Rattus norvegicus: one gene and its partners. The protein of the gene in region 2 interacts with the protein of the main gene of each other region in a pairwise test. Links are inferred from orthologs where the notes say so. Each region holds a gene or a part of one and is shown on either strand. Other genes may lie near its edges.

Region 1 (5,904 bases), on a different chromosome or scaffold from region 2:
TAAAAAAAAAAAAAAAAGTGAAAAGGCAAATCAAAGGATATCGACCTCAGTGGTTAACAGTGCTGTGCTCAACTGTGAGCACTAGTGTTCAGACCCCAAGACCCCTGTCAGGGAACACTCAGCTGCAAAACAAAGCCCTCACCTTCTTCTGGCCTTCAAGGTCACAGGTACTGTACTCTTACACATACACACACTTTTTTTTTTTTTTGTGAGAAATGCTAACATCTTTTCAATGAGTGGCACTGGAAGAACTAGACATGTACATGTCAAAAATATTATGTCAATACTATTCTAATTTGATTTAATACAAAGCTTTATGGCTTAAAGCTTTTCTTAAAATGGAACACAAACTTGAGAATAAAATGAGAAATGGTAATGTTTTAAGGAAAAAGGCAAAAGAAAATCTCTATAGTCTGCAGATGATAAAGATCTGTTTTTAGGCATGATAGCATAAGTATGAAACGTAAGAACTATAGAAATGGCTAATGAGCAAGGTTTCATCCAGATGATAAACAGACAGTTAAGACAGTTAAGACAGTGGAGAAGGCACACTCCCTGTGAGGAGCCATTCCCAATCCACATCTGGGGAAGTACTTGTTTAGAAAAAAGCTATCAGTAGAGCAAGAGTAAGTTTAATTTTAAAAATGGCCAGGAGACTTTAATACTTATCCTAAAGATACACAAATGGCAAATAAATACAGAAAGCACATGGAGAGATGTTTACTATCATTAAAGAAACTTAACTACAACAGTCATGATATCCATCACAACCATACTCAAACTGCTAGGTAATACTTAATAATATATTACTATTCTGGGTGGGTTGCCATGGCACATGTGTGACGACAACTTGGAACATGCTCTCTCCACCCACCATGTGAGTTTGGGGATCAAATTCAGGTTATCAGGGTTGGTGGGAAGTGCAGGCCTAATAATTCTAGTTAATTCAAAATGGTAGCTCTCTAGACCTGAAGAATACCATCTTATTTTGCCATTTAGACAAAGAACAAGTGTTAACTCCTTTTTTTCTTTATTGAAAAAAAAAATAAGACTAAAAATTCCAAATAAAGTAGCTGAATGACAGCTCAGCTAATGCAAGGTCTGGAACTCTTTAGCCAAGCTGGATCCAAGGGCCCCATTTGCTCCTTTCTATGTAAAAACTGTCTCAACCTCTTGAGACAGAAAGAACAAATCCCAGATTCTACAAAGTGGAACTTCTAAAAGATTCAATTTTTTTGAGTCATATGGAAATGTACATGAACAATTTTAAACAATAACTTTTAAAATACTTTTCATAACTATAAAAATCTAGCAATTATTTTAAGTATACATAAAAATTAGTCTTAACTAGCAATAAATTATGGTGGGCTTTTTTTTTTTTTTTTTTTTTGGTTCTTTTTTTCGGAGCTGGGGACCGAACCCAGGGCCTTGCGCTTCCTAGGTAAGCGCTCTACCACTGAGCTAAATCCCCAGCCCCTATGGTGGGCTTTTAAAAACTACTACTGTAAAAAATGTTCTCTAGGCTGCACAAAAACTAACAAAATGAACTACATTTTATGTTTTAGAAGTATAAAAAAATCATCTACACACAAGGAATTATAAACAGAAAACTTAACACCTAAATATTTTATAATATGAATCTGCTTTGCCATCCTTTTTGAAAGATGTTTCTCTCCCTTTTTGACTAGTAAAGTGGGAGAGATATTTTCCACATTTTGTTACACAGTAAAAAAGTGAATCCAATTTAAAAAAGGAATACTTTCAATTTATTTACCTATTTTTTCAGTTTTGTCTTAACTAGTCATAATACTCTTAAATTATTTTAAACAGGTAGGCTCAAATTACAGAGGTATGCCTTTAAGAAACAAGTTTTCTTTCTTCTTTTGCTTCCTGCTTAGCCACATTTTCACCCACTCTACCACTAAGACATCTGCAGTCAGATTCTTACAGATGGTCCAGAACATTCTGCTGCTCATTAAAGAGAAACCACCACCTACCCACAGCAGCAATTGCCAGCTGGATACTTTTTAGCTTTTAGTTAAGAAAAATCTAAAGAAATTCAAGTAATTCTTGTTTCTTTTATTAGCAAATCTACTAATCATCCAATTTCTGGAGATACAAAAACATGGTATGATATGACATGTTTTTAGATGTCAAAAATTTAAATTGTTACTGCTCAGGTTGGTACTTCTAGTGTTATTAAATATGCAATAATATTATATTAACTGGCACATGAAAATAGCAACATAAAAATGTGTTTCAAGTCCTTAGAGAAATATTTTAAGAGATCAAGAATGTATATAGCCAGTTATGGGAGTATATACTTTTAATCCCAGCACTAGGGAGGCAGAGCCAGTTGATTTATCTGTGAACTTAAGGCCAGACTGGTCTACCTAGTGAGTTCTAGGACAGCTAGGACTATGTAGAGCCTCCAACAACCACCCATAAACAAACAAACAAAATGTTTATAAAGAACATATAAAAATGAGCATCTTGTTCAGCACATACACTATTTGAAAGTACAGAAAATTCCTACTGTCCTTGAATATTAATATACTTGGAGCTTTATGAAGAAAATCAATTCTTAAAGTTGAAAGGAACACAATTTGAGAGAAAGAGCACATTGAATCAAGACCAATTTATACACTCCCTAAAATTGTGGCTATGTTGTGTGTTCAAATTAACAATCCCAAAAAGAACTAACCTAACCCAAGCCAGTTATTTCTAACATATGGCCAAGAGTTGGAATTTTTCTTATGCTGAGCACTATCAAAAACATTTGCATCCCATAAGATCCTAGTTGTTAAACATGATACTAACATAATATAAAATCATTTGAATGCATAGGGTATGTGCATGCATGTGCATTTGATATTATATACAATCTCCATCCACTAAGAGCAAAAGTACAATTAATTACATAAGTGTTAGGGTTACAAGGCTGCTCATGTTCATGCTCAAAGCAGGTAAGGGCTTTTGGGTTCTAATATTCTGATTTTTAAGAGACAGAATTTTTATAGCAAATTCTTTAGAATGATTACATTATAAATAGTATATAATAATAATGCTTGCTATGAGCCAACACTGAACTAGCATTTGTTTTAAACATGAGTAAGACACGATTCCAGATTCAAGTTCAAGCTGGCAGGAGAGACAGGTAACTGAACAAATAATGCATCCTAATAAATACTGCGGAATTATGTCAAGAGCTCTGGGAGTTCACTGTGTTATCGATGTCACCCGAGGGAGTCTAAAAAGACGTAGGGTTTTGAGAGACGATGAGACAGAAGGAAAACCAAGCATCCCAACAGACTATCTGGGTTCACACAGCAGTGGCGGAAATGTGAGGTATGCTTGGGAAACCCCCAACAGCCGGGCATAAGTGGATGGTAAAAAATTAGGGGCGGCAACAGGATGGCCCTGAAGAGGTAAAATATGATTTAAGATAGGACGGTAAAAAGCCCTGACGGATCGGTAGGCTTAAATTAGAACTTGAAAAAGTTTAAGGAGAGAGAATGCATTTCACAGTAAGTATGGAAGGCTGAGGCGGGCACACCGGTTTGGGGTGGAGGAAGGGCAACTGTCATAGTCACAGTGAAAGAAGCAAAAAATCTGGTGCAGTGTGAGTGGAATACAGAGCCTTAGACAATTCTGAGGTCCGTGTTCTGGAAAGGGGGACGGTACTACGATCAGGGACCGGAAGAAAAGAGACAGGGTCCTCACTCTTGTCAAAGATGACAGTGGCAATATACGGCATGAGTCTTTCAAAGAATGGGATAAAGAAAGAATGCGTGCGGATCACACACACAAATAAGCATCCAGCCCCCACTCATCACTCTGGAAGCAGAGGAACTGCACTGTTCCTGAAAATGGTGGAAAGCACACACTTGGAGCTTCTGAAACATCTGTCTGAGGGAAGCCAGTTGTTCCAACTTGGAACAGAATTTGGAAGGGCGCTGAGGGATTCAAACGATCTCAGCAGCTCCCTCAGGATCGTGGCTAAGTCCCAGTCGCAAACGCGGTCGAGTGCGCTGAGGCAAACTCAACACCGACAAGTCCCTCCAGCCACCGCCCACGGAGCTCCGGAGTGGCAGGAAAGGAAACCCGGAAAGGGTGTCCCGTGGCCTGCAGGCCCGGGGGTTTTCATGGAACTTTCCGTACCTCTGTTCCCGGCAGGAGCTCAGTGAGAGCACGGAGACAGGGAGCCCGGCTCAGAGGTTCACCCACTCGTGTTTTTCCACTCAGCTTCAGTCCCCCTCAGCCGTCAGAGACGGCGACCACCACCCGCGAGATGGAGGCGCCCAGAGAGTGCTCTCCGCGGCCTCGCTGCGCCTGCTCAGCGAGCGGACACACAGCCCTGCTCACACAGCGGCAGGGAGGATCCGGCAGCCCGCTTGCCTCGGCTCCATCCCGGGCGGACCAGAACCTCCGCTACTGGCAGCCACACAGCGACAAGCCTCGCGAGACTTCCCTCCGCGAGTTACCGAAAGCCCCGCCCCCTGCAGGCGGCTGGCTGTTGATTGGTGGATGGGTAGGGGGCGGGGCTTCCCTCTTCTGCTCTCACGGGTTTGCTCTGGCGGCTCGCACTCTCTCGCGCGTTTTCCGAGGGGCTACCGGTCTGGACTGAAGGCGGAGAGGGGAGCTTGAGTGGGTGCGCTCTGCCTGTGCAGAGCCGAGGCCGGCTTATCCCGGCTGCGGCTAGTACTTTGGGGGTTCTCTCAGGTGGTCCTGACCATTCTTCCCAACGGTCGATTGGGAACAATCGTTAGAGCCTTCTTTTTTTTCCCCTCACTTGCTCCGCCCTCTTCCGGTTCGGCCTCTGGTAGCCTCTAAGGGGAAGGGGAAGATGGCGGGACTGTGCGAGAGCGCCGTGCGCACGCGCGAGCCCGAGTGCGCTTTGGTGGGTGCACGCGCATGCGCGCGCTCCTGCGTTTAAGAAGCCGGAGTGTTGGGCGATGAGCCGGGCAGTCAGTCTTCTGCGGGTGGTACCAGACCGTCTGTGCGCCGACTCCCCACCCACCCTCGTCTGCCTTCTCCCTTAGCCTCCGTTCGCTCACTACAGGACCAGGCACGAAAGTAAGCGAACCTCGACGCCGAGGGCTTTCCCGTCCACTCACCTTGTCCCCCCCCCCCCACCCCTCTACCTAGCAGCCAGGTGTGTGCAGAAGGTTGCAGACAGGGACTTTGGGCGGGGAGAGGCGGTGCGCTCCAGAGCAGCCGGAGGTAATAGCGGGTCCCTAAGATGCTTCGTTACACTTGCTCTGTTTCCCATGTGCTTTTAGAATGTAGATTTTTAAAAAAAAATTTTTTTTGCTCTAAAATTTTAAGAGCGAAGCGGGGCAGTGCACCACGTGTGTGTGTGTGTATACATGTATATATATGTGTGTGTGTGTGTGTATATATATATATATATATATATATATATATATATATATATATATATATATAAAAGTTTTAGAAGTGTTTCCTCCTCATCTGCATGAGATAGCATCTGTTCTGGTCTACATGGTGAATTACTGTAGTGTATTGCAAGTTGAGGGAGAGGATGAGAGTTTGGGCCATAGGAAGACCCAATATGCAAGTTACCTTAGGAGATGTGTGTGTATTTGGGGTTATACTTTTGCTGTCAGTCTTTTCCTGTGGATTTTCCTCGGCCCCTAAGAAGGGTCAGCATAAATACATTTGAAGAATGGATCTGTGGTTTGTGGGCATAGGAATCAAATACAATGCGTATAAATGTTTTCTTCTATTTTAAGTGCTTTGTAAAAGAAAAAGAAGTATGAGCTAATTTCATGTGGTAAATTGACTGCATGGTATGACGTAGCTTATTCCTTGAACTGGCACCTTTACCTTGCCCTTTTTTGCACAAAATTCTTGGAACTTAGGATCCCTATCAAATCTTGA
Region 2 (7,639 bases):
CAGGCTGCTACTGACAGGTAACATCCAGGCACACCCCCAACCTTCAACTACTGAGTTTAGCCTGTGGTGTATAGTTAGAATCTGGAGGCTGGCTTTGAAGTCAGATGGCTGGAACTCTGAGGCACTGCCTGACTACCCACCGTCTTGTAAGGCTGCCAGGACTCTGGGCATTGCCCTATCCAAGTAGAGGTGTTGCCTGTGCACCCTCTGCCCGTGAGCCCTCTGCCTGTGCTCCCTCTGCCTGTGAGCCTTCTGCCTGTGCTCCCTCTGCCTGTGCACCCATATCCTCTGCCTATGCTCCCTCTGCCTATGCTCCCTCTGCCTGTGCTCCCTCTGCCTGTGCTCTCTCTGCCTGTGCACCCATACCCTCTCTATGCTCCCTCTGCCTGTGCTCCCTCTGCCAGTGCTCCCTCTGCCTGTGCTCCCTCTGCCAGTGCTCCCTCTGCCTGTGCTCTCTCTGCCTGTGCACCCATACCCTCTCTATGCTCCCTCTGCCTGTGAGCCCTCTGTCTGTGCTTCCTCTGCCTGTGCTCCCTTTGTCTGTGCTCCCTCTGCCTGTGCTCCCTCTGCCTGTGCACCCATACCCTCTCTATGCTCCCTCTGCCTGTGCTCCCTCTGCCTGTGAGCCCTCTGCCTGTGCTCCCTCTGCCAGTGCTCCCTCTGCCTGTGCTCCCTCTGCCTGTGAGCCCTCTGCCTGTGCACCCATACCCTCTCTATGCTCCCTCTGCCTGTGCTCCCTCTGCCTGTGCTCCCTCTGCCCGTGCTCCCTCTGCCTGTGCTCCCTCTGCCTGTGCTCCCTCTGCCAGTGCTCCCTCTGCCTGTGCACCCATACCCTCTCTATGCTCCCTCTGCCTGTGCTCCCTCTGCCTGTGCTCTCTCTGCCTGTGCACCCATACCCTCTCTATGCTCCCTCTGCCTGTGAGCCCTCTGCCTGTGAGCCCTCTGCCCGTGAGCCCTCTGCCCGTGCTCCCTCTGCCTGTGCTCCCTCTGCCTGTGCTCCCTCTGCCTGTGCTCCCTCTGCCTGTGCTCCCTCTGCCTGTGCTCCCTCTGCTTGTGCTCCCTCTGCCTGTGCACCCATACCCTCTCTATGCTCCCTCTGCCTGTGCTCCCTCTGCCTGTGCTCCCTCTGCCTGTGCACCCATACCCTCTCTATGCTCCCTCTGCCTGTGCTCCCTCTGCCTGTGCTCCCTCTGCCCGTGCTCCCTCTGCCTGTGCTTCCTCTGCCTGTGCTCCCTCTGCCTGTGCTCCCTCTGCCTATGCACACTCTGCCTGTACATCCTTGGCCTGTGGCCTTATAGGCAGAGGTTCTCCTAGAACACAGAACCCTGGTCCCTCTCCCAGGCTTCTATCTAGTGCTGGAAGAGTTTTTTTAGGTAGATAGAGTTCGGCACGGAACCTGGGGTGGCAAATATTGATCGTTTATTTGCTAGACTCTAGAATCAATCCTAGAAGAGAAACTGCCAGGCTCCACCATGAGAGAAAGTCTAGGCTGGGTCAACTGAGGAAGGAAGGCTCAACCCGAATGAGTGACTGAGTGATCCTACGGAAGGGGCCAACATTCCCCTCTCCCCCAGCTTCCTCACTGTGGATGGTAAGAGACCAGCTGTCTCACATCCCAGCACATCTCACGGCTTTCCCCACCACTGTCAAACACTCCCAGACAAGCCCTTCCTTCTTTAGTTGCCTCTGTTGAGCGTTTGATCTCACAGCAACAGGAAAGGGAACTAGTAGAGCGCTCAGGTCCCCACACTTAGGTGAGCCCTCACCACTGAGCCATAGCAGAGCCCAGGATCTGCTTTTCGCTGTTTGACTTTCACTGTGGCTTCTTCAGATAAGAGGTGGGAGGGACTTCCCAGTTGGGTGGAAGGGTGACGGCAAGTGACACCAAGGCTGGGGAGGAGCTCCCAAAAACAAGGACTCCCAACCTCACCCCCCAGGCAGATGGTTGAAATATGAGGTAAGGAGGGTCATCTTTCCCTAACCCTACTGGGGGTTTACCCTTCGATACCTTGGGGATTCCCAACTGTCTTTAAACTCTCCTCCATTGCAGCAGCCTGTGAGTGTGTGAATTTCATAGCAACAAAAAAAAGACACCTCCCTGCTTACTTAACGTATATCACAAACATGAATCTTTTTTGAGTCAAATTTGGATTAAAAAATCAGGTGTGTGCATGAGAGAGAGAGAGAGAGCGAGAGCGCTTGCACTTATGTGCAAGGGGTAGAAGCCAGGATGTTTGGAAGAATCTGTGCAGAGCCCTAAATCTGGCTTTTAAGTGAGAACAGTCTCTATCTCTTAATGTCTTAAAAAAAGATTTATTTATTATATTATATGAGTACACTGTCGCTGTCTTCAGATTCACCAGAAGAGGACGTCAGATCCCATTACAGATGGTTGTGAGCCACCATGTGGTTGCTGGGAATCGAACTCAGGACCTCTGGAAGAGCAGTCAGTGCTCTAACCACTGAGCCATCTCTCCAGCCCTCTGTCCTTATGTCTTAAAGTTGGGTTTCACTATTTCTCTGGGCTCAGAACTGGTGCAAATGGATGTCATTTTGAATCTTTTCTGCAGGAACCCCATCCCACTCAGAAGACCTGCCTGGGGTATAGAGTCCCTGGTGGAGTCACCCAAGCCCCTGGTAACCATGCAGCCCCCATTCCACTGACCAGTCTGCGGCCTCCTCTGCTGTCTTCATCCCTGTGGCCGCCAGTGCTTTGAGCCTGTGGAACGAGAACACAGCAGAGTCAAGGCCCGCTCGGCTCTTCTTTGGAAGGGGTGAGCTCTGGTAGTAAAATGGTTTCTCTTCCACACTGTGTCCTACCAGGGCCAAGCTGCTGGACTTCCCTTTATGCCAAGATCTCCATCTTTCATACAGTGACTCATGCCACACCCACGGCTTGATTTCTTGACCCTGGGTCCTGGTTGTCAAGTCCCAACCTCTGCTCTCTCTTCCTTTCGTCTCTCTGCACCCTGCTACCCTGCAACAAAGCCGACGTCATCTACTTGTGGATGCTCAACTGGGCTGGGACAGGCTGCATTCCTGGCTCGAGCCTGTGCTGCCCTGACAGATGCAGCCCAACCCCGGTTGCTTAGCAGGTAGCGTTCCTTAACTAACCACTGGGCAGGCTCATCCACATCCCTCTCCTGTGTCTCCCCCCACCCCCACTACTCGCTGGTGCTTTCCTCATGGTTCCCATGCGTCTTAGTCATTCTGGGACCTGGGGTGTACACAGGCTGACTTCAATTTGGCTGAGTTGGGCCAGAGAGACCAGAGTGGGCCACGCACCCAACCATCAGTGGCTGAAACCGCTGGTCCACGTTGGAACCCAGTGTAATATCGCCCAGTATTTGGGCGAAGAGCAGTGGAGATGTAGCCGTCTAGAGAGGCCATGACAGAGAGGTCCAGCCATGAGCCCCTTCTGAGCCCCACCTAAGAACCTGTAGACACTCGGGTGTTTACTGGTTTAAGCTAGCAGGGATTTGGAAGGTGAGCCCACTGCACGGCTTGAGTAGTAAAACAGAATGGGTCTCGGAGGCCTTGGGAGCCTGCTCCTGTCCTACCTAGGCTTGCCGCTGGCTACTCTTTAGGCCTTGGTGTTCTCATGTGCGGCTTCCTGGTGGGTTCTGTTCCCCATTTAGTGACCAAGAAGCCCCGATATTGGGAGAAGAGGAGACCAGCTTCGATGCCAATGTCCTCCCTGGTAGCCAGGTTCTTGCTATCTCATCGAAGGACTTATTTGGCTCACTGCCTGAGCCCCGGGTTCTCTGAAGCATACTTCCGACTTGGCGTCTCCTTGGGAGTAAGGATCTGAGAGGACGGCCGCTAAGAAGCAGGTTTACGATGGATGCCCTGACCACGGTCAGCAACATCTCTTTCCTCTCTGAGCCCAGGGGGACTTGGATGAGCCCAGTGGTGCTGGGGTGAGCTGTCTCTGGAACTTCTCACACATTCTACTTTGTCACCGGGTATTCCAGATGTGTTCCCTAAAGGCAAGCGACTTTCCCTGGGCTGCTTAGAAACTCGAACGATAATTCTCTCAGGGGATCCTAGCCTTAGAGCCTCATGTCAGAGTCGCATACCTTGAAACGTCACCATAAGATTCGCCAGTGCACAGGAGAGGAACATTTGCCCCCAAACCCCTCCAACCCTCCCCCTCCAAAGTGAGCAGCCAGAGGCCCACATGGCTTCTAATGTGCGCATGCCCCTGTCAGTCAATAGGAAGAGCTCATCTTTCAGAGCTCAAGACCATTCCATGTTTAAGCAAGAGGAAGGGGCCTTCTTGTGAGACGCCCGTCTTACACAATTAGGTGACCACTTTAGCAGGAAGTCAGCCACACTCGGTTATCCAGTTGCACGACAGGCGGAGGAGAGGATCCACCCAGGCAGGGAAGCCGGGCTCTAGGGCTGTGGCAGCCGCAGTACTCACGCGGTATGTGTGGGGAAGCCCAAAGCCAGGAGGGGGTCCAGGAGTGAGGAGGTGCTGCGGCCCTTGAGCTTGTTGGAGACCTTGGCATAGAGCTGTGTCTCCCCGGCAGCCATGCCTTCCTGCTTGCCGTACACGAGGCGTCTGCTCACTGCAAGGATTAGATAAAGTGAGAGAGGAGAAGGAGGCAGGCTGAGGCTGTGAAGAAAAACCTCAAGCCTCTTTTGATCTCTCTGACACAAGCGAATATCCTGTTTGCACAATGATCCGGCTTCAATTCTCCCTGCCGGTCCACAGCCAATGTTTTCCAAACCCACCGGCTTCCACAGTTGAGGTCTGGCCCGAAGTTCATCATTGGGATCTGCTGGGTGCGTTTGGGAGAAGGAAGACCTGAGAGTGTGGGGGAGGGAGGAGCAAAAGGAGGAGTCTGGAACAGGCTTCTTCTGTAGGTTCTGCCAGGCACCCACCCTTGCCACCCTGGACCTTAGCCTCTGTGTCTGCAGACGAAACACGGGTGTTCACTCTATACACTGCCCCTGCTTGCTTAGAAAACTCTAAGAAAAGGTTTAATTGACTTTTTTTTTTTTTTGGAAGAACTTTTAACATTCAGTGCTATGTATGGAGCATGAGGAATTTCCACAGAGTAGATTTCCTCTCCCCAGGACCAATGAAACAGTAATGCAAAGCCCGCAGCATTTAACTTTTGCACCCCCCACCCCCGCAAGGGGACAGTTGACAGTGTCTGGAGACATTTTGGCAACTAGTGGATGCCAACCGCAGAGGCCACAGGACCCAGGACTGTCTGTACAGAAAAGGGCAGGCTTGCCCAGTATCAGCAAGGCAGGTTAGGAAATGCTGCTCCAGAACTTTCCAGACCCTTAGAAGCATCCCTACCCCTCCCTGCCTCCCTCTTCCAAGGTTATCCCCTTGGAATCTCTTTTGTGCTTTAATTTGAAGACTCGTGTAGCTAGAACACTGGAACTCATGCTCTATTATCATGGCTGTGTTCTCCTCTCCTCTCCTCTCCTCTCCTCTCCCCTTCCCTCCCTTCCCCTTCCCTCCGCTCCCCACTTTCCTCCTCTCCTCTCCTCTCCTCTCCTCTCCTCTCCTCCCCTCCCCTCCCCTCCCCTCTCCTCTCTCCCTTCTTCTGTCCTCTTTCTCTCTCCACCCCTCCCCTCCCTTCCTCCTTTCCCCTTCCCTCCCCTCCTTTCTCCTCCCCACCCCTCTCTTCCCCTCCCCTCTCCCTTCTCCTTCCCTCTCCCTTCCCCTCCCCTCCCCTCCTTTCCCTTCCTCTCCTCTCCTCTCCTCTCCTCTCCTCTCCTCTCCTCTCCTCTCCTCTCCTCTCTTCTCTTCTCTTCTCTTCTCTCCTTTCTTTTCTTTTCATGATGCCAGGGATTGAATCCAGAGCTCCATCCATGCTAGGCAACTGCAGCCCCTTAGCTCCTCCTGTCCTGATTCTTGGCTCCAATCGATGTCTATGGGATCCACCCATGCTTGCACTTCACTGCTACCCTGACAAACATCCTACTAAACGGTGCCTGGTTCTTCCACCTACTTTTTTGCTGGAGTACATGTGGGCCGAATCGACAATCTACCCTCTGGCCCTCTGAGGATGAGAGGCTTGGTGTGTTTGGTTTTTTGGGTTTTTTTTTGTTTTTTTTTTTTTTCTTTTTCTGTTTTCAGTCCTCTGGTCAGTTTACAGTAGCATCTCCATGTGGTTGCAATTTGCATTCCTCAACTACGGACCAAAATACCAGGGCTGTTTGACTACAGGCTTACTGGCCACAGAGCAGTCTCTCTGGGGAAGTGTCTTCTTGGATCTCTCTGCTCCTTCCTCCCGAGATTTGGCTTGTTAGTCTTATTTTTTTTTTTCTTCTTTTTTTCGGAGCTGGGGACCGAACCCAGGGCCTTGCGCTTGCTAGGCAAGTGCTCTACTGCTGAGCTAAATCCCCAACCCCAGTCTTATTTTTTAATCACTCTGTGGAAGCTCTCTCTGGCTGGCACCTTCTGCATCCTGTTCGAGAAATCGCTGTTCGTACGCACCAGTGAACGCGGTCTCCTCCACATTGTTCTAGAAGTTTGTCTGTGGTTGTCATTCCCGTTGAGCTCAGTGGGGGTTAGGGTATGGTACATCACCATACACTGTCACAATTGTGTGTCGCAGACACACAATTACTTTGGGAATGGTTCGAGGTGGGGCTAAAGGTTCTTTATTCTCCGTTGACGAGATGAGCCCATGCCACCAGCGTATTGTCAGCCAGTTTGCTTCTGGCTTTGTCGTGTTCTCTTATCTGATTTGTTCATTTTTGTGCTCCTTTTTAAAAAAACCACTATGGTGTGAGAGTGTGCTGATTTAGCTGTGAGATTGTCCTCTGCTCTTAGCTCTTTTATGTAAAAATCAAAGAGCAGGCTGCATATGTACCGGGAAGGGTGCAGGTGACTCACATATACATCAGTCAACTGTCAATAATCAATAATCGGGCATTCTAACTCCCCAGGAAGGGCTGCTCCTTCCGTAACAGTGCTGGGGAACTGCAAGCACGTATGGTGTTAATTCAAAATAGATGGTGGGCTCAGACGTAAAATCAAAAACTACCAAACCTGTCAAAGAAAGCCTAGAAGAGAAATACATGTTGTGTTTTAGCTTATAAAACTTTCTTGGGGCACAACAGGAGTAACCCGCGATCTTTTATTCTTCCACATCAGGCTTCGTCAAAATCATAAATGTTTACTCTTTGAAAAGTGTTGTAAAGGAAACGAAAAGAAAGATAAGTCACTGAGTGGGAGAAAATACCCCCTCCCACGCGCCTACATACTTGGTCTGATACCCGGAATGTACAGGGCATGCATGTATTCAAACAGCTAACGAGAGAACCAAACACATCTTTAAAATCGGTAACGTGTCTAACTGCTACCTGGTGGAGAAGAGGCGAGAGCACTCATGAAAGACGTCTGACCTCATCTGTCACTGAGGGATATAGAAGAAGACCACAGCACAGTTCCATAGCACCCACTGGACTTGGAGCTAAAGTCAAAAGGACCAATAAGGTTAGGCTTCAACAAGGTGAGGGACCTCTCGGAAACACCCATGCTTTCGGTGGGATTGTCGTTCAACGTGTTGACACAATGTCTTATAAAGGTCAACATGCATTTGCGACAGGACCGATTCTGATTTTAGATTTTACCAGGGAAAAGTGAAAATGTGTGCTCCCACGA
Region 3 (6,034 bases), on a different chromosome or scaffold from region 2:
CTGGCCAACCCCCTCAGGACCTCCTCCTTGTGCCCACTGAATGACTCACCTTGGCATAGACATAATGGTCAGGGGCGGGCACACAGCCTGATTCCCGCTGCACTCCAGGCCCCCTTCAATGCTTTCCGAGAAGTCCATTGAGCTGGGAGCTTGTACTGCACCAAGGGCTGACATCCTGGCAGCCAGGGATGAAAGCAGCCCATGGGGCTACCCTTGCCGTATGCCTCACTGGCGGCAGAGAACAAGGCTCTATTCAGCAAATACCCTGGAGTAGACACCAGAAGTCCAAGCATGGGCAGAGGAAGGCAGGCGTTGGGGGCTGGAGGGGAGCAGAGCTGTCTGTTTTCCAGAAGCCCAAGGGTACAGATGGCGCCTGGGGGGGAACTGAGTGGAGGGGATAGATGGGCCTGAGATCTCAAACATCAACAGCCTCCTCCCCACCAACGATGAAGGTGGAGGTTGGTTTCCCGGACCTACATATCCCCCAGAGACCTGGTGTATGAAAATTCAAAGGAGGTAAGTCTCCTGAGAGAACGGGGGGGCTCACAAATGAAGCCAGCTGTCTTACCCTATCAGGACCTACGTGCATTCCTTCTGTCCTGCCCCCTAAACACACAGCCAGAGGCTCAAATTGATTCTGGAGTCACAAAGGGGGCTTGAAACCCCAGCCCCCAACTCCTGAACTCCAGGAATGAGAAGATAGTACTGGAGGGGTTCAGAGGAGAGGGCTCTGCACATCTGTTGAGAATGGGGGTCCCAGGAGAGTGTAATTTAGGCTGATCCCGGAGGAAGGGAATAGGTTCTTCAAGATCCTAGCATCTCACAGGCCCACAGAGAAGTTCAGAGTTGGGGCAGCCCTGGCTTACAGGCTCTAAGAACTGGAGGCAGTTTACCCAACCCAGCTGTGTGCATGCTGTCCCTCTCTCTGTCTCTGTCTGTCTCTCTCTGTCTCTGTCTCTCTGTGTGTGTGTGTGTGTGCTCACACACGTGTGTGTTTACCACACAAATGTTCATGTGTGTGTACATACATGTGTTGAGGCCAGAGGTCAACCTCAGACACTGTTGACTTGGTTGTCTGAGATAACATTTCCCCCTGGGACCTGAGATTTGCCAATTAGTGTGACCCAGGAAGCCTACTTATTTTCATTCCTCAGCACTGCAGTTACAAGTATGCACTGTCAAACCAGGCCTTTTTTTTTTTTTTTCCAAACCAGGCCTTTTGTATTCGCTCTGTGGCTAGAACTTGGGTCTCCATGCTTGACAGGCAAGCGATTTATGGACTAAGCTGTTTCCTCGGCCCTCTCTTGACCCATTTACCAGAAATGGGGTTTCCTTGATCAATGGTGAAGCCAGGCTGGTGTTCCCAGGAAACCCTTGACTCTGGGTACAGTGACCTTGGTGGGGTGAGAAGAGTTCTCTCCATAGCTGGGCTGGGGCCCAGCTCCACCCCCTCAGGCTATTCAATGGGGTGCTGCCAGGAAGTCAGGGGCAGATCCAGTCCAGCCCGTCCCTCAATAAAGGCCCTGACATCCCAGGAGCCAGCAGAAGCAGGGCAAGATGGAGCGGAGACGTATCACCTCTGCACGCCGCTCCTATGCCTCCTCCGAGACGATGGTCAGGGGCCATGGTCCTACCAGACACCTGGGTACCATTCCGCGCCTCTCCCTGTCTCGAATGACGCCTCCACTCCCTGCCAGGGTAGACTTCTCCCTGGCCGGGGCGCTCAATGCCGGCTTCAAAGAGACTCGGGCCAGCGAGCGTGCGGAGATGATGGAGCTCAATGACCGCTTTGCTAGCTACATCGAGAAGGTCCGCTTCCTGGAACAGCAAAACAAGGCGCTGGCAGCTGAGCTGAACCAGCTTCGAGCCAAGGAGCCCACCAAACTGGCTGACGTTTACCAGGCAGAACTTCGGGAGCTGCGGCTGCGTCTGGACCAGCTTACTACCAACAGTGCCCGGCTGGAGGTGGAGAGGGACAATCTCACACAGGACCTCGGCACCCTGAGGCAGAAGTGAGAAGGGGAATAGGAAAAATGGCTAGTGAGCAGAGAGACTGAATTGAGAGAGGAGCCTGGAAGGAAGGGTACTGCCTCCCCCTAAGGAGAGCCTCTTGGCTGCTGTGTTTCAAAAGGGAGAGCTGTCTTTGTTCCCTAATATGATCAGAATAGCCAGGAAGAGACTGAAAACTTCAGGGATCAGATTCCCAGAGAGAGCTGAGCATTCTGGGTACTTCCACCAAGCTGAGGGAGGCTGTGTGTGGGTAGCCAGGGTACAAGCAGGCAGGTGCTTCAGTCACTGGGCACTATGAATGGCCAGAGAGGTTTGCGTCCACAAGGAGGCTCTTGGTCTCTGAAATATAAGAAATGCAAGAAAGAGCAGGCAGGCCTGGATGCCGGGCCCAGATGGCTGTCTACGACCTGCTTTTGACCCTGCTCAAGTCATTTTGATTGGTTGTAGCTGTAAAGGAGAGGTCATGATACAATCTGTCCTAAAAGATGGTAACCGAGGTCAAACTCTGGGGCGTGGTGCTTTGCTGGGTGGTGGGTATTCACGTGTCCCTCTGGTGCGGGAGGGGCACTGGTGTCAGTGACAGTGGGCGCACGGTGGTGGATGCGTCTCTGGGAACAAGAGCAGGTGCACCAACCCCGATAAGGCACCTCAGTAATGAGTTAAGGAGGAAGCTCTTATCTGTTCACGCTCAGCCAAGGCCTCTGTGTAGGAACCTGCCGTTGCTTACTCTTCCTGCCATTCTACCGATCCTGTGGGATCCGTTTGTGACAGTCCCCTCCCTCTGGAGGTTCGGATAGGGATCCAAGAGTCCTCAGGAAAACCTAAAGCCTGTACTGTGTTCCCTGTCCCAGGCTCCAAGATGAAACCAACCTGAGGCTGGAGGCGGAGAACAACCTGGCTGTGTACAGACAGGTCAGAGAGATGAGAGGGAGGGTGGGGGAGGGGAGGCGGAGGGCCGCCCACCAAACACCGCAGTTGTCTGCTTCCAAGATCCCCACAAGGAGGGGGAAGACAAAGTTGGAAATTTTAGTAGCTAGGACCCTGGGGTCAAAGAGATTCTCTCCCTGCTCCAGGAGGCGGATGAAGCCACCTTGGCTCGTGTGGATCTGGAGAGGAAGGTTGAGTCGCTGGAGGAGGAGATCCAGTTCTTGAGGAAGATCCATGAGGAGGTGAGGCCAGGGAGGGGGAGGGAGGGGCCTTACGAGAAACTGCAGGTGATAGACAGAGACGCTCACAGAGGGAAACGGAGAAACCAAATTTCAGGAAGAAAACAAAAACGAGAGAAAGAGTGAAGACAGAGACTAAGGGAGATGTGTCCAGTATTTACTACCCGTGAAAACACACGCAGGCCTTCCGCCGCCATGTTCTGAGAAGCACAGAACCGAGTCTTGAGTTTCTCCTTCACATCAGCTCTGCGAGCCTTATCACTACCTCCTTCACAACTGTGGGGACCTTGAGGCCCAGAGAGGTTAAAACACACCCCCAAAGTCACACAGCTGAGAACCCCTCTGAGGACCTGTCACAGTGGTATGCATCTCAGCCTGTGAGTGGTAGACGTGGAACGTTTGAACTGTTCAAGGCCAATTTCAGCCACACAGAAAAACTGAGACCAGCCACGCACGCACGCACATCTATTCTCTGACCTCAGAGCCTGGCTGCAAGACATATTCATTCATGCCTGGTTCCTGACTATGCAGTCCTGAGAGGAAGGCACCCTCAAATTCTCATTCCATGCCCATTAGACGCTTTACTTTTACTTTTTGACAGGATATCACTGTGTAGCCTTGGCTGGCCTGGAACATGCACTTCCTCCAGTAACATCTGCCTCATTTCCGTGAGCCATTGCTATAAATGGCAGACAGAGGCGTGAGTCTGGGAGAGTGCAGCCTAGGCCTGAGGCTTGAGCCTCAATACCCCTTCTTTTACCTTATTAGGAAGTTCGAGAACTCCAGGAGCAGCTGGCCCAGCAGCAGGTCCACGTGGAGATGGATGTGGCCAAGCCAGACCTCACAGCGGCTCTGAGAGAGATTCGCACTCAGTACGAGGCAGTGGCCACCAGTAACATGCAAGAAACAGAAGAGTGGTATCGGTCCAAGGTACCTGTGGGGCAGCTTGCCTCTTCCAGGAAGTCTTCCTGCTCCCTCCTGAAGAATAAAGGAAGGAAGGAAGCTAGGGAAGGGTAACCTATCTAGGTGTCCAGTCTTGCCCAGAGAGAGGAGACTTGCCCAAAACCACGCAAGCATTATTACTTCCCAAACTACTCTTGGTTACTGCTATTATAAGTAATATCAGTAATAGTTAATAATAGCTAAAAGGCTCACCAGTTTGCTCAGTGTCACACAGCTCCTAAGTGACAAAGGGATAGCGTTTCCTATCCTAACCCATATCATCAGAGAGCCTGCTTTTTGATGCCTCTGCCAGCCTATGCCCTGCATTACCGAACATCTACTGTGTGTCACGTTCTTTTTTTCTTTTTTTGGAGCTGGGGACCGAACCCAGGGCCTTGCACTTGCTAAGCAAGCGCTCTACCACTGAGCTAAGTCCCAACCCCGTGTGCCACGTTCTTTAGTCCAGATGAGGCCAGCGTTTATACAGACTGTAGGAGGCAGGGACGATGGGGGATGGACTAGGGGTGGGACTTGTGCTAGACAGGCAGCCTAGAGACTCAGGAGAAGAGGGAAGGGCATCTCAGGTGGAGAACAGGGGCTGTGAGGAGGCCTGAGACAGAAAAGCACAGAGACCAGAAATGTCGCTGGCCCAGGGCGCCAAGCCCAGTGTGAGTTAATGAGCCTCACATGCAGGGACAGTCTGGGCAGGATGAAGGCCTAAGAAGTCCTTGGGCTACAGTTGTTCCTCCTAAGGGAGCCCTGAGGTTCCTGGTTTTTCAGTGATCATGTATATCTCCCAGCTCAGGCAGCTCTCTGGGCTGTGCCTTGCGCCATTGGGAGGCTCCAGTCCACTTTCCCTCAATTTTTGGTCCTCTCTGGGTTTAGTTTGCAGACCTCACAGACGTTGCTTCCCGCAACGCAGAGCTGCTCCGCCAGGCCAAGCACGAGGCTAATGACTATCGCCGCCAACTGCAGGCCTTGACCTGCGACCTTGAGTCCTTGCGCGGCACGGTGAGCACGGATCACTGGTTGGATGGGGCAGCAAGAAGTTGCTGGAGGGGGACAGGGATGGAGGGACCGGGGTGGCATAGGCGAACACGGAAGAGATCAGGGGTTGCAGCCTCGAAGTTTCTCAAAATCTCCCGGCCAAGTGATCAGTTCCATCCCGCAGAACGAGTCCTTGGAGAGGCAAATGCGCGAACAGGAGGAGCGCCACGCGCGGGAGTCGGCGAGTTACCAGGAGGCACTCGCTCGGCTGGAGGAGGAGGGCCAAAGCCTCAAGGAGGAGATGGCCCGCCACCTGCAGGAGTACCAGGATCTACTCAACGTTAAGCTAGCCCTGGACATCGAGATCGCCACCTACAGGAAATTGCTGGAGGGCGAAGAAAACCGGTGAGCTCACCTCAGCCCCAGAATTCCTCTTGTTCCTTTCAGTACTCCGGAGTTAGCCTTGTATCCTTCCCACCCAGAGTGTTCAGCCTACGAACAATAGATATTCAAGAAATGTCTGAAGAATAGATGGGTCCAACTACTGGTAATTCTCGGGACTGAGGACTTGAGTTATTCCCCAGATTAAGTGGCTTACCACAAGCATGGCCAACAAAAATGGAATTTCCCATGGTCTGAAGGGCTTGTTCTGCCTCTATGAAGTTATTGTGACTTAAAAAAAAATTCCATCTCCAAAGCCTCCTTCCTGGAAGTATTCTGTGGGGGCAGATAACACAGTCCTGCAGACACTTCCGGCTCCTGGAGAGTGTTGGCTGCTGGGTTGAAAGTTGGTGGTGGAGGCTGGAGAGATAGTTAGGGCTTTGGGTTCCAACATCCATCTTATGGCTTGCAATGGCTTGTAGTAACACTCCAGTTCCAGGGGAACCCACATCTGCCATTGTATGTGTGTGTGTGTGTGTGTGTGTGTG

Evidence for each region.
Region 1: the proteins of Ubash3a (region 2) and Fgfr1op2 interact in binary tests that used the Homo sapiens proteins (3 or more experiments, as listed by UniProt). The link is inferred for Rattus norvegicus from reciprocal best matches to the Homo sapiens genes UBASH3A and FGFR1OP2.
Region 3: the proteins of Ubash3a (region 2) and Gfap interact in binary tests that used the Homo sapiens proteins (3 or more experiments, as listed by UniProt). The link is inferred for Rattus norvegicus from reciprocal best matches to the Homo sapiens genes UBASH3A and GFAP.

What each region holds. Positions count from the first base shown.
Region 1 is NC_086022.1:181,220,872-181,226,775, reverse strand, and holds the start of Fgfr1op2 (FGFR1 oncogene partner 2 homolog), read right to left. Parts: upstream 4,479-5,904; 5' UTR 4,162-4,478; intron 1-4,161. UniProt on the Homo sapiens protein: May be involved in wound healing pathway.
Region 2 is NC_086038.1:9,290,645-9,298,283, reverse strand, and holds the start of Ubash3a (ubiquitin-associated and SH3 domain-containing protein A), read right to left. Parts: upstream 4,595-7,639; 5' UTR 4,540-4,594; coding exon 4,427-4,539; intron 2,720-4,426; coding exon 2,666-2,719; intron 1-2,665. UniProt on the Homo sapiens protein: Interferes with CBL-mediated down-regulation and degradation of receptor-type tyrosine kinases. Promotes accumulation of activated target receptors, such as T-cell receptors, EGFR and PDGFRB, on the cell surface.
Region 3 is NC_086028.1:88,357,184-88,363,217, reverse strand, and holds the start of Gfap (glial fibrillary acidic protein), read left to right. Parts: upstream 1-1,556; 5' UTR 1,557-1,557; coding exon 1,558-2,012; intron 2,013-2,861; coding exon 2,862-2,922; intron 2,923-3,083; coding exon 3,084-3,179; intron 3,180-3,944; coding exon 3,945-4,106; intron 4,107-5,003; coding exon 5,004-5,129; intron 5,130-5,289; coding exon 5,290-5,510; intron 5,511-6,034.